Linked DNA regions of Pelodiscus sinensis. The protein of the gene in region 1 purifies or fractionates together with the protein of each later gene. This does not show direct contact. Links are inferred from orthologs where the notes say so. Each region holds a gene or a part of one and is shown in the gene's direction. Other genes may lie near its edges.

The links. The genes of interacting proteins can lie anywhere in the genome.
Region 2: the proteins of TNRC6C (region 1) and PAN2 purify together in Homo sapiens (affinity purification with western blotting; 3 studies listed by BioGRID and IntAct, with this or other methods). This does not show direct contact. The link is inferred for Pelodiscus sinensis from reciprocal best matches to the Homo sapiens genes TNRC6C and PAN2.

The regions. Positions count from the first base shown.
Region 1 is NC_134730.1:7,746,150-7,753,340, forward strand, and holds the start of TNRC6C (trinucleotide repeat-containing gene 6C protein), read left to right. Parts: upstream 1-4,158; 5' UTR 4,159-5,141; exon of another isoform or gene 5,142-5,311; 5' UTR 5,312-5,362; intron 5,363-7,191. UniProt on the Homo sapiens protein: Plays a role in RNA-mediated gene silencing by micro-RNAs (miRNAs). Required for miRNA-dependent translational repression of complementary mRNAs by argonaute family proteins.
Region 2 is NC_134729.1:3,832,311-3,840,345, forward strand, and holds the start of PAN2 (PAN2-PAN3 deadenylation complex catalytic subunit PAN2), read left to right. Parts: upstream 1-4,933; 5' UTR 4,934-5,098; intron 5,099-6,724; 5' UTR 6,725-6,743; coding exon 6,744-7,025; intron 7,026-8,035. UniProt on the Homo sapiens protein: Catalytic subunit of the poly(A)-nuclease (PAN) deadenylation complex, one of two cytoplasmic mRNA deadenylases involved in general and miRNA-mediated mRNA turnover.

The DNA.
Region 1 (7,191 bases):
AAGTGTAGCCATGGCTGTTGCAACTTTTTTCTTTTTCTCTTTTACATCCTGTGCACCCTTCTGCACCCAGCCTTCATCCTAGACCCCACTCATCCTCCACACAAAAGTGCAGCCCTTGACCATTTTCCAAAATCTTAAAGTGGCTCCCTACCAAAAATTATTGCCCACCCTTGGTTTACACAGATTACATCTCACTGCAAATTCAGTCTCATCTATAGGAATGCCTTTATGTTCCAGCACTGAAACATGAGCATCATATGACCCCCATTCTCTTCAAACTGGATCACATCCGTTCTTCCTCATGTGACACAAAGAGAATACTCGAACAGTGGCGGGAAAGGATAAAACAGGGTCTGTCTAAAACATAAGAGCTACATTTCAATAGATGCCTTGGAAATTGATGAAGGCCATTCAGGGTTTGTCACAAAAGATAATACATATTGGTCCTCAATATGAAGGAAATTTATGTCGTGAAAGATAATTCTATGAAGCTTTCTACGAAGCTCAAAACACTTGCCAACCAAAATGAAAACATGCCTGAAAGGTGAAACACTGACAAGTCTACAGACCATATAACATCTTTTTCATCTAGGGCAAAGAAAATACTAGGTAGTTTTAGATAATTAATCTTGGTACATGTTAAACTTCCTTAATTGTGCTCAGCATAGAAATAAAATGCACAGAAATTAAAAAGTATATTGGCTGTCTCTTAGACACAGGCAGCCTGGGAAACATTCAGTACTCCAGGTTGTGACAATTATGATCAGTGAGCCAGAAAATACTTGTTAACACAGTGAGACATACTGAAGAAATGTTTGTTTGGGTGAGATGTTGTGGTGGTGTCCTCCATTTCTGGATGAAAATATACTCTGAACATTTTTGGCTGAGTCATCCTATCATCTTGCTAATGAAGCAGGAATTTAAATATCCTGTGCTTCATTAGCATAAACATGGCTGCTGCTTTTTTTCTAAATGGATTTTAGATCTGTCAAAATAAACCCTTTTTCGAAAGATCCTGTATTTCTCAAAAAATGAGGTTTACAGGATCTTTCGAAAAAGGGTTTATTTTTCAACAGATCCGCTTCTAGTCTGCCATTTTTTCAAAAAAGGTCCATTTAGAAAAAAAGCAGTGGCCATGTTTATGCTAATGAAGCACAGGATATTTAAATCCCTGTTTCATTAGCAATTTCAATGTGCTTGATTTGCATCCCTCTGCCAACAGAGGGATGCAGTCTAGACATAGCCTAAAAGTTGGGCAGTGTAGTTGCTGTTGTCAGTTTTTTTGCTGTCAAAATACTTCTGCCTCCAATGAGCAGTATTTGTTCTCCTGCTGACAATATGCCATTCATCGTGGCACTTGTCATGACAAAACTTTTGTCTTTCAGGCTACGTTTACAGTTTACCTCCGGTATCCCGGAATAGCTATTCTGCGTCTTAAGAGCAAGCCTGTTGTATTGAAATATAACAAGCTCACTATTCCGATGTCTCTGTAAACCTCATTGCATGAGGGTAAAGGAACATTTCAGAATAGCGCTTTATTTCGAGGTAAGGGTGATGTATGGACACACCCTCAGTGGGTTTTTTTTTATACCTCTGAATGATAAAAGTTTGTCTTTCAGTTGTCAGTGTAGACATAGCCTTACTGACCTACCACAGTCCAAACATTGAAAATTTCCTGGAAATAGGAACTGCTTATCCAGTTTTAAAATCAGATGTATTATAACCTTTACCCACATGTGTAAATTGCTTGGAGGGCTCCTTTGTGTGTCAGTTTTATATATCAACTTTCAGATAGATTATGCCAAGTCAATGGGGTTCTTAAACCTGCGAAACACCTCTGCCTGACTTCCAAGAGTGCGCAACCATGATGAGTGGTGGCTGACCCAGGAGAAACCAAAGCAGGGAAAATATTTTTGGATTGAAAAAATCTTTGTATTTAATGATAGAAAACTACAGGTAGTTGAAATAATTGCAAATGCATTTTTATCATAACAAATAGCATCTTTAAAATATGGACATTTTGTGTAAAAATCAAATTTACTTTTCATTATTGGTTCTGTGTAGGGGGTATGTGTATTTTAGATAATCCTTTTTGCATTTATTTTAGCTTGGTCAAGACTGAAGAAAGTACATTTGTTAGTTTCACTTTTGTTTTTAGTCACTGTCTAGTCAAGTTTCAATTTCAGGATCTCATGATCTTTGTCTCTTGCTTTAGTGTTTGTGTTGAAAACAAATGCATGGGAATATTTACTTCTTAAAAAGATACTTTGAATTTTAAAAATCAAGGGAAATACTTATGATCTTAGATTTTACAATAGGCTTTGTAAACTAAGTTTAGGGACAAATTTGACCTAGCAAGTAACCTTTTAATATAGTTAAAACAAATTTTTCAGTAGAGGACAACTCTATATATACAGAAATTAATTTGTGACATGATGTTGTTATTATTATAAACTTTACTTAGATAAAGGTACATGTCTGTTTTGTTTGCACTGTATTGAGGAGTTGTCTTATGTTGAACAAAATCCACTCTGAAAATAACAGCTTGGCAATTTCCTTACTTGCTTTTGATGAGTCGTTGGGGGACAACAGTTTGCAGGTGTTGACCTACATTTGTGTAACTGAAAAGTTAAGGAAAGTGCCTCTGAATTATCTACTCAGCTACACTAGTACAAACTACTTGCCTTTGAAATGTAAATAGCTTAGACCTAGATGTGTAAGAGCAGCAATACTGTAGTCAAGTGTCTGTCAGCATCACATTACTTCAGAAAAAAAATGTGAATTTAAAGTCCTGGTGAAAGGTATAGACTGACATTCCAAATGCAGGGAAATTGTTCTTAATCGTTTTGCTTTCTGGTGCTTATGAAGCAAAATGGTACACATAAATCTAATTTTTATAACATTTTGCATACATATAGATATTGTCCTGGCCTAGAGAACACACTTTGTTCTAACTATAATGATCTGATATTTTATGTTTTATTATTTTTTATCTTTGAAGTTCTGTTTCTGTTGCATTCTGGAAAAATATGGGCTCCCTCCAGTGGCCAAAGTAACACCTGTGCTCTAATTAGTGTTACCCAAAGACAGTTTTTCTGCCTGCTTGTTAAGGTATTGTCTTTGTATTAGAAGTACTAAATTCAGACTCGTTTAAAATTGTATTTTTATTTAAAACAATGTTTTTATTTGACGCATACCAGTAATTTTTTCAACCTATAAGGTCTCATCACTTCAAGCTATTCCTTATTGATTTAAGATAAATTGATATAAGGCACTTAAACCAATTTGATAAGAGTCCTCACTTGAGGGTTGTATTATTTTAACTAAATCAGTTTTAGGTACACATGTTGTGTGTAGTCAAGAAATGTTTTTTATCAAAGGTAGTTTGCTGAATATTGACCTCACTGATTTGCGCCTGCAGGAAGTTAAAGGCAGGAGTGATCAGATTTGTACCCACAATTCAGGTGCAGGTACAATTTATATTCACAAAAAACTTAGAAATCGGTCCTGGCCCTGCAGTACTTTCTCAGTCAAAACTGCAGTTTAACCGATCCGAGTTTTGCCCGAGTAAGACACACTCAGGTCCATCTGCCGTAAAGCAAACATCGAATCAAAATAGGTATTGGCCCTGGTACAGTTTGCGCTGCCACTGGGGGGCTGCGTGGGCAGCCCGGCCACACGTTTTCTATTGACGATTTTCTTTCCAGCCTTGTTCACTGCACTGGTGTTCGGTGTGGATAGCGGTTGGACTCGTGCCAGCTGCACCGGTGCATTTTGCAGGGAGCATCTAGCTGGGCAATTTTCGCTTCGCTTCCAGGCACTGATGTGCAAAGCGTCAGGCTCTGCACGGCGCAGTGGGCTCTGGAAGGAGCGCGCGCGTTAGGTCGGTGCCGCATTCGAAGCCCCCTCCGCGCGGGCGCATCTGGCACGTGCAGTGCGAGAGGTGCCCAGGTGCGCGGGCGAGAGCCGCGAGCCTTCCCGCGCAGAGCGGACTGGCCAAGATGGACGCGCCCGGCCCGTGCGAGAGGCGGGGGAAGACCGGGCCCACTCGCGCGCTAGGAGGAGAGCAACCAGACACTGAGTCGCGGCGCTGATTGGCTCTGCCACCCAATTGATTTGCATGCCGCAGTTTGTCTTCCCCCGTCACGTGATCAGAGGGGGGTAACGCCGAGGCTTCCTGTTTGAGGTCAGAGAGGGGAGGGGGGGGCCTCTCTTTGCTCTCGCGCTGCCTGGTGGGGTTCTTGTCAGTTAGCAACAAAATGGCCGCGGTGGCAGCAGCTCTGCTCCTGAGGACGGCGACGGCGGCGGCTGCAGCTAGGAAGAGCGGGGGGCCGGCGCCGCCTGCCTGCTAGAGAGAACGCGCGCGAGACGCTGCAGCCCAGCTCCTCCGCCGCAGAGAGACACTGCCTGAGAGGCGCTGCAGCAGCCCCTGGGAGACTTTGCTGCCTCCTTCAGCCTCCTGCCCCCCCCGGGGCGCGAGACTCCTGGGAACCCCCTGTGCCCCACTGAGAGTCTCTGCGGCAGAGCCCGCTGGATCGTCCCTCTCCTCGGGATTCTACGTGAGACGCTCTGCTGGCCCCATTGGATCCCCCTGTGAGAGAGACACTGCTGGATCCTCCTGCTTGGAGCACCGCAAGAGAGACTGCTGGATCTCTTTCTCTACCCCCGCCCCCCATTGTAGGACCCCTTGCGAGAGAGACTTCATTGGATCCTCCTCCTCACTGGGTTCCTACTCTTGGATCCCCGGCTGTGGCTCCATTTTTGGAGGGGGGACTCTTTCAGCTCGTTTGTGGGATCCCCCTTTTCCTTTTAATTTGCACTTTTTGAACACTCAGATGCTCCTCCATCTGGACTGAGAATCCATCAACACAAAAAATAAACTCTCCCCATCCGCTTCACATCGTGAATTTCGTGGGTTTTTGTTGTTGCTCGAAAGCAAACGTGTATTTAAAAAAGAATTCGTGTGCAAAAGTCTAGCTAGGGACATTCTTTTCCTTCCTTTCTTTCTCCACTGGAAAGCTAAAGCTTGTTTTGGAATTGAACCTGTTTCTCCTGCACTGGGACTGGATAACACCGAACCTCTGCTCTTCTGCTTGGATACTGTTTTCTTGTCGACTTGTTTTTCTTCTCTTCTGTGGCAGGTTGTGGGGGGAGTTGTTTTTTTGTTTTAGTTGGAGGGGGGAATTGAATTTTTTTTTTCGTATTCAGAGTCGTGAATTTACGGGTATTTTTTTAAGGCGTTAAAATAAGCAAGAAGCACGTCAGAGAGACCTCTACAAGGTAGACGAAATATTCACTTGTTTCATTACAGAGAGACTGAGTCGAAAGCTGCCAAAGAGCCCCTGAAGGAAAAGAAGAAACGGTAAGGGGGTGATTGTTTTATATTGATCTGCAAACAGTAGAAGTGGGAGCTGAAAAATACCTGTTCAGTCATTGCGTTAGTACATGTCACACTTTCCCCTCTGGAGTGGAGGGCAGGATTTTTCAAAAAACAGTTATAGTGTTTTTAAATAGTACTTATATTTTTCTTTTATTATGGGGCCACTGGAACAAATACTGTAAGGTACTTCCACACAAACTATTCTAAGTTATTTTAAGATATATTTTAACACTAAATTATATTTGTTGAAAAATAGACCTTTATAAATAAAAACTTGGTATTTCCATATACTGACTCTTTTTTTTACACATGCCTAATTTTTGTCACCTGTATTACTTTAATTGAAGTCTCATATATAGAAGTTAAACATTTCTAGGTTTACAGGAAGAGCCTTATGAGTTTGCTTTTTAATAATTGATAATGTACCTGTGAGTTGATGTGTGGTGTTTGTACACTAATATAAAATAATTAGCTCTATTATAAAGCGAGGTCACCAGGACTGCTTTTGATCATAACCAGGTCGGTGAAACTTGAACGTCATACTTGATCAGCTTCAGTTAAATGGCAAGAGCTCTTTAGATCCCTGTCTTTTCAATACAATTAAATTATGGTAACCATCATAATTTAGTCTCTGAATACTAGATATGTGAGCTTATTTTTTCATATTTTCATGAAGCCAAATTATTCTTATTAGCTTCAGTAAGAGCATCAGTCAGGAACAAAAACAGTGGTGTTATGGTTGAGTGTTCAGTTGTTTATCCTTGGATATCAAGAGACAGTGGGAATGTATTAAAGGTATTTGAATCCTCTTTGTTTAATTTTGCAAGTTTGTGTGGAAGGGTAATCTCCTCCCTTATTCTGTAATTGCACGTTAGTAGAAGGTCCAGTCATGAGACCCATTGAAATATACAAATGAGAATATGAACTAGTTTATGCCTCATAAAATAATTTAATATAGTTTTGTTGTCTTAAATTATATATTTTTAATTTCAGTATTTAGTTTCTTTAGGAGTGCCATTATCTAGCTAAGTGATACTTTGATGTGGTTCTAGGATTAACTTTATTCTCTGCTTCAATATAGACTTGTTTTTGTTGTCGAAAATATTGCACTGCATATATTCAGTTTATATAATTTCCAACTTTGATTTGTGTTCTTGAAGACAGCATGGCCATTTTTGCTTATAAACAAATTGAGGAAATATTTTTTCCTTGTATCTTAAACTAATTTGATTTTATATTCAGTGGAATCCAGACTGAAACTTAATTTCACCATTGGACTAATTAAGCTAGTTAAAACTCAATAATTGCTGCTAATAGTGGTTTAGTTGGTTCTATATCTTAAAATAAGATGACTATTGGTGTACTAAGAATAATGAACAAGACAGCATCTGTTATTGGATACAGTTATTCAAATGACCGACTTTAAAATCCTTAACATTAAATATTTCCTTGTTATGAGGTCAGTCAGAGATAACCTTTGGTTTTTGGTTGCTGTTGTACATCATACTGGATTGTTTAAGAAATCACTGGGGTGATAAATTTTTTCTGTATCTGTTGCTTTTCTCAGAAATGTGTGAGGGGTGCTAGGTGGGATAGTAATGGATACAACTTGTCATAATTTCTCAAATTCCCAATTTTTTCCCCTTGCCCAATAATTGTGATTTTTAAAATCTAATAAGCCTCCATTTGAACAACCACTTTCATCCATGAATTGTGATTTCAAAATGGTGTGCTGACAAGTATTACTGAAAGTTGCTCATCAAGTAATATTACTTTGTCATCTCCTACCTCTTATAAAATCTTTCCAAAGT
Region 2 (8,035 bases), on another chromosome or scaffold:
GCTCTCTGCCTGGTACGGCTCCAGACCCCTGGGCTGTGTCTAGACTGGCCAGTTTTTCCGGAAAATCAGCCGCTTTTCCGGAAAAACTAGCCAGCTGTCTACACTGGCCGCTTGAATTTCCGCAAAAGCACTGACGTCCTACTGTAAGAAATCAGTGCTTCTGGCGGAAATACTATGCTGCTCCCGTTCAGGCGAAAGTCCCTTTTGCGCAAAGCTTTTGCGCAAAAGGGCCAGTGTAGACAGCTCAGATTTGTTTTCCGCAAAAAAGCCCCGTTCGCGAAAATGGCCATCGGGGCTTTTTTGCTGAAAAGTGCGTCTAGATTGGCACGGACGCTTTTCTGCAAAAAGTGCTTTTGTGGAAAAGGATCCGTGCCAATCTAGATGCTCTGTTCCGAAAATGCTTTTCACAGAAAACTTTTCCGTTAAAAGCATTTCCGGAAAATCATGCCAGTCTAGACGCAGCCCTGGTGTCTTTGTGTAGTTGGGATGAGCTACTCCGTGGATAGGAAAAAACAAGGCGTCTTGGGGCAGCTAGCTGGGTTAGTCTGTAACTTTAAAAACAACAAGTCGTCCCATGGCACCTTAGAGCACGGCTACTCAACACGCGGCCCTGTTTGTTTGTGGCCCGTGGTGCCGTTTGGAGCTTTTGAACATGGCCTTCACTAGGAACACGCTTCACAATGGCGAGTCAATAGAATGGTCTGTTGTTATGAGTTTTAGTAGTTACATTCCTGGATTGTCATTGCTCATTAAAAGTGCAGTCATATGAGTGGAAATCGGGTAAATATTGCGTTTTGTTAATATCAGCAGAACTGACTTAAATGGGGCCTGTGTGTGGTGTATCTTGCCTTAATCTTTGTATTCATGCCTGTCAGTGTGAAGGAAGCTATTTGTATATATTTGCATATATATTTACATGTATATGCAACTGCACTTAGGCTGTGGCTCTCGGGATGTACTGTGAGTATCATTGTGGTCTAGGGTTGCCAGATGGTGTCAACAAAAATACCGGACACGCTTGACATTACATCACAAGCTACATTCCATCTTATTTAGAAAATACCAGACATTTATATTTTCTCAATTTTTTCCCCAAAAAGAAAGCTCAAATACTGGACTGTCCGGTTCAAAACTGGACACTTGGCAACCCTGATTGAGTAGCCCTGCATTAGAGACTAACAAAAATACACAGTATCATGAGTTTCTTGGGTAAGACTAAAGTTGCCAGGTGCCTGGTTTTGAACCAGACAGTCCGGTATTTGAGGATTCTGTCCAAGAAAAAAAATAAGAAAATACCAGACACATACAATGTCTGGTAGTTTCTAATTCAGTAAGTTTTATGATTATTAGGAGTATCAGTATTATTGTTAGGAGCTCACACTGCGTGAGCGTGTCTACCAACCAGGCAGTACGCAACTATGTGGGGGGGGGGGGGGGGGAGCAGGGTTGGGGGGGAGGGAGGTAATCCTCGGGGCCGGACTCACTTGTGCTTCGCCAGGACCATGTGTGGGACAGGCAGCACCCCGGGATCTATGTGTGCCAGGGTCAGTCCCGCTCCCCGCTGGCCGATTCTCTCCCCCAGCTTGCCCCCCTGGCAAGCCCCGCTCCCCCTGACCCCCTCCCAGCCAGCCGCGCTTCCCATCAGCCAGTGTCCCCCCCCCCCCCCCCAGCCAGCCCTGCTGCTCCTGACCAGCCCTGCTTCCCACTGGCTGGTTCTCCCCACCTCCTGCTGATCTCCCCCTGCCAGCTCCACTCCCCCCAACCCTCTCCCAGCCAGACCTGCTTCCTACCAGCCAGTCTCCCCCCCATCTCTCCCAGCCAGCCCCGCTGCCCCTGCCCCTCCGCTCCCCGATCTCCCCCGGCCAGCCCCGCTGCCGCTGCCCCACCCCCACCAGCCCTGCTGCCCACGAGCTGGTTTCCCCCTCACACACATCCTCCCAGCCAGCCCCGCTCCCCTCCACTCCCAGCTGGTGTCCCGCCCCCCGCATCTGAGATCAAGTGTATCCGGTATTTTTTTTTAAGCCGCCTGGTAACCTGGTAAGACCCACTTCATCAGTTGAATTGGAGTGGCAATAACAGAATCCAAGATCTACATAACAGCAAAAGAAGTACCTGTCAATTGTAGGCCCCGGGTTAATGAAGCTAATTAAGCGGTCTGTGTGGTATGATGAAGGCTTAAAACATAAGCCAATGCAGGACAGGCCTGGCCCGAGGAGCTGAGGCCTAGCTAACAATGGACAAAACATGGCTAACATAAAGCAAAGTTAAACTGTGAGCAAGAGGCAGGCCCCAGCTCACAAAACTTGGCACAAACAGGGCTAAGAGTGCAAAACACTAATTGGTAATAGAACCAAGGGCAGAACAATAATTGGTACTGGTCATAAGTGGAACGCACAGAATATCACTAGCTTGTTAAAAAAGACTGTGGTACCCACTCCTCACAGACACAGACTTAGGTTCAAGAAAGGGTCTAAAATGACAGAATGATGGCTAGAGATGATCTAATAAAACCACGAGGTACAGGGTGATGGGTGGTATCTAAGTAGCATCAGAGGGTGGTAACCTGACAATGTCAGTAGTGAGGTGTGATTTGTTTGTATCTGTATATAAGGTGGTGTCTTGGGGGGACAGCCTTTGTATGACTGGGGGGGAGCAGTGGAAATTTCCCACTGATTGTGTCATGCCATTGTGGCAAGGACATGTGCATAGTGGTTCAGTAGAGTCTACTGACAACTGTTACTGTACTTCGCTCGACAATAAACCTGGCCTGGCACCTTCCATCCTTATCTGGTTTGTGGTGTTTGGGGGCCCTCTTGGGGTCTGCTGTGGTCATTGGGCCCACATCATTGAGCACACACACACAAGCAGTCTTCCGGTTACCATCATCGACAGAGCCAGAGACCTGTGAGGACACCACGGCAGTAAGTCCACCTAACTATAGGCTGGATGTGTCCCATTCATAGCTTTTGATGTGAAAACGAGGATGTCAAGGGCAGGGGAAATTGGCTTTGTAATGTGTTAACCAATTAATAGTGATAGAAATGTAGCCGTGTTAGTCTGGGGTAGCTGAAGCAAAATGCAGGACAATGTAGCACTTTAAAGACTAACAAGATGGTTTATTAGATGATGAGCTTTGATCTGAGGAAGTGGGTCTGGCCCACGAAAGCTCATCATCTAATAAACCATCTTGTTAGTCTTTAAAGTGCTACATTGTCCTGCATTTTGCTTTAACCAATTAATGTCTTTCTTCAAGCCCAGGGTTATAGTGTCAAAGTTGTAGATGAATTCCAGTTCTGTAGTTTCTCTCTGTAATTGGGTGGTGAAATTCCTTTGTAGAAGGATGGCTACTTTATGATTAAGTGGCCAGGTAGGTTACAGTGTTCCCCTAGGTTTATGTGTGTTACCATTTCTGATGTCTGATTTGTGTCCATTTGTCCTTCATCATAGAGCAGGGTGGGGAACCTAAAGCCTGGAAGCCAGATGCAGCCCCTGGCTTGTCTGGATCCGGCCCCTGAGGCTCAGTGCTCCTCTTTTCTTTTGCTGTGCTAGTACATATATATATAGCCCTCCTACCTTTGTGATTTCCATGCCATAGATCTGACAAAGTGGGTTTTTTTTTAACCCACAAAGGCTTATGCCCAAATAAATTGGATAATCTTTAAGGTGTGACAGGACCCCTCCTTGATATCGTAATGAGTTAGAGACTAGGAATGGCTATTCAGACCCATTCTGATGGTGTCAAATTTGCATATAAATTCCAGTTTGGGACATCTTGTTGTTTTTGCTGAAACAGACTAACATGGATACCGCTCTGTGGACAGGGGGCATGATTAGCTAGCTAGATGGATGGATGGGTGTGAAGGGGATACACGGATGGGTATGAAAGGGATAGATAGACGTGTATGGGGATAGACTGATTAGACTGGGGCCCTTCAGAGGATGAGCTATGGGTGAAAACCCATGGGTTGTGTCTACACTGGCATGAATTTCCGGAACTGCTTAAAACAGAATACTATTCCGTTTTCAGTTTTTCTGGAAAAGGAGCGTCTACATTGGCAGGCTGCTTTTCCGGAAAAGCCCTTTTTCCAGAAAAGCGTCTGTGGCCAATGTAGACGCGCTTTTCCGGAAAAGAGCCCCGATCGCCATTTTCGCGATCGGGGCTTTTTTCTGGAAAAGACTACTGGGCTGTCTACACTGGCCCTTTTCCGGAACAGTGTTCCAGAATAAGGACTTATGCCCGAGCAGGAGCAGAATAGTTTTTCCGGAATAGCAGCTGATTTTGTACAGTACAGCATCGTTGCTTTTCCGGAAATTCAAGGGCCAGTGTAGACAGTTCACAGCTTATTCCGGAAAAGCGGCTGATTTTCCGGAATAAGTGGCCCAGTGTAGACACAGCCATGCTGAACGTGAAGGCTGCTTCCTGGCCTGACCACTTTGCTGGGAGGAGAGGTAGAGAGCTGTGGGTGTAAATTGTTAGGGGGGTACAGCTGAGACCCACCAAACTCATGTCACAAATTGCTCCCAGACTGGACGTTGGCATGATGGCCCCATGAGATGCTGCCGTCTAGGCTTGTTTGCTGTGGGTTTCACACCCCCCGAGCCCCCGCCTCGCCATTCAAGGGTGTGTTTGTTGGGGGCGTGTTCTATAGAGATAAACGCCACTGTGCTGCTGCTGGCCCTTTAAAAGGTCCTACGTTCTGATGTCCCTTTGAGAAATTCCGTTGCGGCTGGCCCTTTAAGTCACAGCGGAATCGCTGCCGTAAAGAGAGAGAGACTCGGATCTTTATGTCCCCTCCGACCTCCCGTCTTGTTTTCTCTCCCAAGCTGGGAGACAAGCCACCGCAACCTGTTAGTCCCGCCCCCGTCTCCCTCTGATTGGCCGGAGCTCTGAGCGCGCCCTCTCATTGGTCCCGGTCCCTGCCAGGCGGAGGGAACCCTCAGCCTGAGGAGTGGTTGAGCAGGCGGAGCCAGAGGCGCTGGAAGTTGCCATGGCGGCGACGGGGGGATGGGACGCGGCTCCAGTCGGGGCGGGGGGCGCAGCGGCTGGTGGCGGCCAGTGAAGGAGAGGGCCATTCCCCGCCGCCGCAGAGCATCCTGGGTAAGGTACCCCCGCGCGGAGCCTGGGTAACTTGGCCGCAGCGCAGAGGATTCTGGGTAATGTAACCCCTGAGGAAAGGGATCTGGGTAACTTGGCCACCGAGCGGAGGATTCTGGGTAACGTGCCCCTGCGCAAAGGATTGTGGGTAACTTGGCCACAGAGCGGAGGATTCTGGGTAGCGTGTCATGCGCAAAGGATTGTGGGTAACTTGGCCAAAGAGTGGAGGATTCTGGGTAGCGTGCCATGTGCAAAGGATTGTGGGTAACTTGGCCACAGAGCGGAGGATTCTGGGTAGCGTGCCATGTGCAAAGGATTGTGGGTAACTTGACCACCGAGTGGAGGATTCTGGGTAGCATGCCATGCGCAAAGGATTGTGGGTAACTTGGCAAGAGAGCAGAGGATTCTGGGTAACATGCCTCTGTGCAAAGGATTGTGGGTAACTTGGCATCAGAGCAGAGGATTCTCAGTAACACATCCAAGGGTAGAAGGTTGTGGGTAACTTGGCCACAGAGCGGAGGATTCTGGGTAATATAGCCCTGCGCAAAGAATTGTGGGTAACTTGGCCAAAGAGTGGAGGATTCTGGGTAGCGTGCCATGTGCAAAGGATTGTGGGTAACTTGGCCACAGAGCAGAGGATTCTAGGTAACATGCCCCCAGGAAGAGGTTTGTGGGTAACTTGACTGCATGGTAGAGGTTTCTGGGTCGTGCAGTCCTCAGGCAGAAGGTGGTGGCTAATTTGGCTGCAGAACCAAAGGTTTCTGGGTAAATTAGCAGAGACTTCTGGGTAAGAATCGCTCTTCACCTCCACTTTGCTAACTGAGATTTCAGCATTTCGGTTACAAGACCCTGTCAGTGGTCACAGGCAGAGTTGAGCCCAGTGGATCTATGACTTGTTGAGGAATGGTGGGGGAACTGATGGGTAATGAGCAGAGTGGGGTTGGTTGTCAGCAGGTAGGTGACCATGTTCTAAGGCCTGGGAACTAAATGGACCTTTGCAGAAGGGGCTCGTGTGTGTCTGGAGCAGCATTGCCAGCAGGAATTGCCACCCATCTCTGCTGTCCAGCCGAATCCCACTCCTCCACTGTAATCACTAGGCGGCTCTCAGTTCAGTGCGGTGACTCTTTATTGTTACAGGGTCAGTCAGTGGCTAACGGAAGCCTCTGGTGTCTGTCAAAGAGCCAGTTTCAGTACTGTGCTATTATGGCCCACTGGTACAAAGGGATCTTGGCGATACCCCTGCCATGGACAGCTCCTGTGCCAGGCGAAAACCAACCACTGCACTGTGTCTGCTGCAGCACTGAGTCCAGGGGCCATTGCAATGTAGATTTAGGCCACAGGAGGGAGAGGAAGTGGTGGGGAGGAGTCATGTTTAGGATGGAAGGGTTGAGCTGCTTCTCCTCCATCTCAGGGCAGGGCTAAATACACCTTCCCCTCTGGGCACTTAAAGATAGAAGGGTAAAGAACGTCTCACGAAGGGACTTGTCATGGGTTTTATATTAGAGCTGAGCTAAATACTCAACTATTGCTAGAGACTTCATAGACCTCATCCATCCTAATACCCATAGTGCTGTTTAATTGCTAAGACGTAGGGGCCTTGGTGTTTCTGATTTGCCCATTATTTTCAAGGGAGACGTCCAATTTCATCATGAACTTTGAAGGCCTCGACCCTGGCCTTGCGGAGTACGCGCCCACTCTCCACCCAGCCCTGGATCCAGTCTTGGACCCTCACCTCAACCCCAGCCTGCTGCAGAATGTGGAGCTGGATCCAGAAGGGGTGCCGTTGGAGGGCATCCCGGTGCCGGAGTCAGTGCACATCATGGAAGGCATGTACTCAGAGCTGCACACCGTGGTCTCCGAGGTGGGAGTACCTGTCTCCACCTCGCATTTCGATCTGCACGAAGAGATGCTCTGGGTGGGGAACCACGGGGTAGGTGATATTTGGTGTTCCGTGTGGTTCCTTGGGGATGGGGTGGTTGGGTTTTGAATTCGTCATTTGTCTGCTCTGATTTATTGGGCTGTGAGGTTTTTGTTTCTTCAGTCGCTTACATGTGTCTTGGGTCATTTACTAATGAGGGAAATGACCAAAGGTGCCTTTTGGGGCTTGGGGATAAATGGGAGGATGAGAGACTCAAAAGAGAGGGGCTGACCTCTTTTCCCTTATGTTTGTCAGTGAGTGGATGAACCAGTAAGACAGATCCTTTGGTTATTGGTGTAGAATGTGGGATGTAGGACCAGAAGGCACCTTGTTAAATTCAGTCCCCTGCAATTGCAGGCCACCCCATCTTAAGAATCTTTGTAACAGAATAAACCAATGCTCATGTGGTCTGGAGTCTCTTCCTTCCTGTTGTACCAGAATTCATGTTTGGTCTGTCCTGTCCCATATACCTTTTGTCCTACAATAGGGATGTAATAGTGGAGTCGATTAACCGATTAACCAATACGCAAAAGCTTATTGGCTAATGCTATAGACTACATGCATCTTCCCCACTGTCCGCCAGTAGATTTTTTTAGCAGGCTGGCCAGCAGCCTGGCTTAGTCTTGGCTCACGCCAGGTCCGGCACCTACCCTTGCTACCGTTCTGCATTTAAAGTGTATTAGGAGCCAGACAGGCAGGCAGCCTGGCTCAGTTCCAGCTTGTGCCGGGTCTGGAAGCTCAGCTCCCTCCCGGACAGGGGCTGCTGCTGCCCTGTGTTGCTGCCTCTGTATCAGAGGCAGCAGCATGGGGTGACAGGCAGCTGGCCCACGAGGGGAGTTGGTTTTTAGACTGGCTCTCCTCGCGGACCAGCTCCCACCTGGTACCCCGTGCTGCTGCCTCTGATACAGAGGTAGCAACACGGAGTGACAGGGGTTCCTTAGGGGTTCCTGCCGGCCCCACCCTCAGGCACTATAGAATAGTCGACTAAGGATTCATGAGGTTAATCAGCTATTCAATTAACC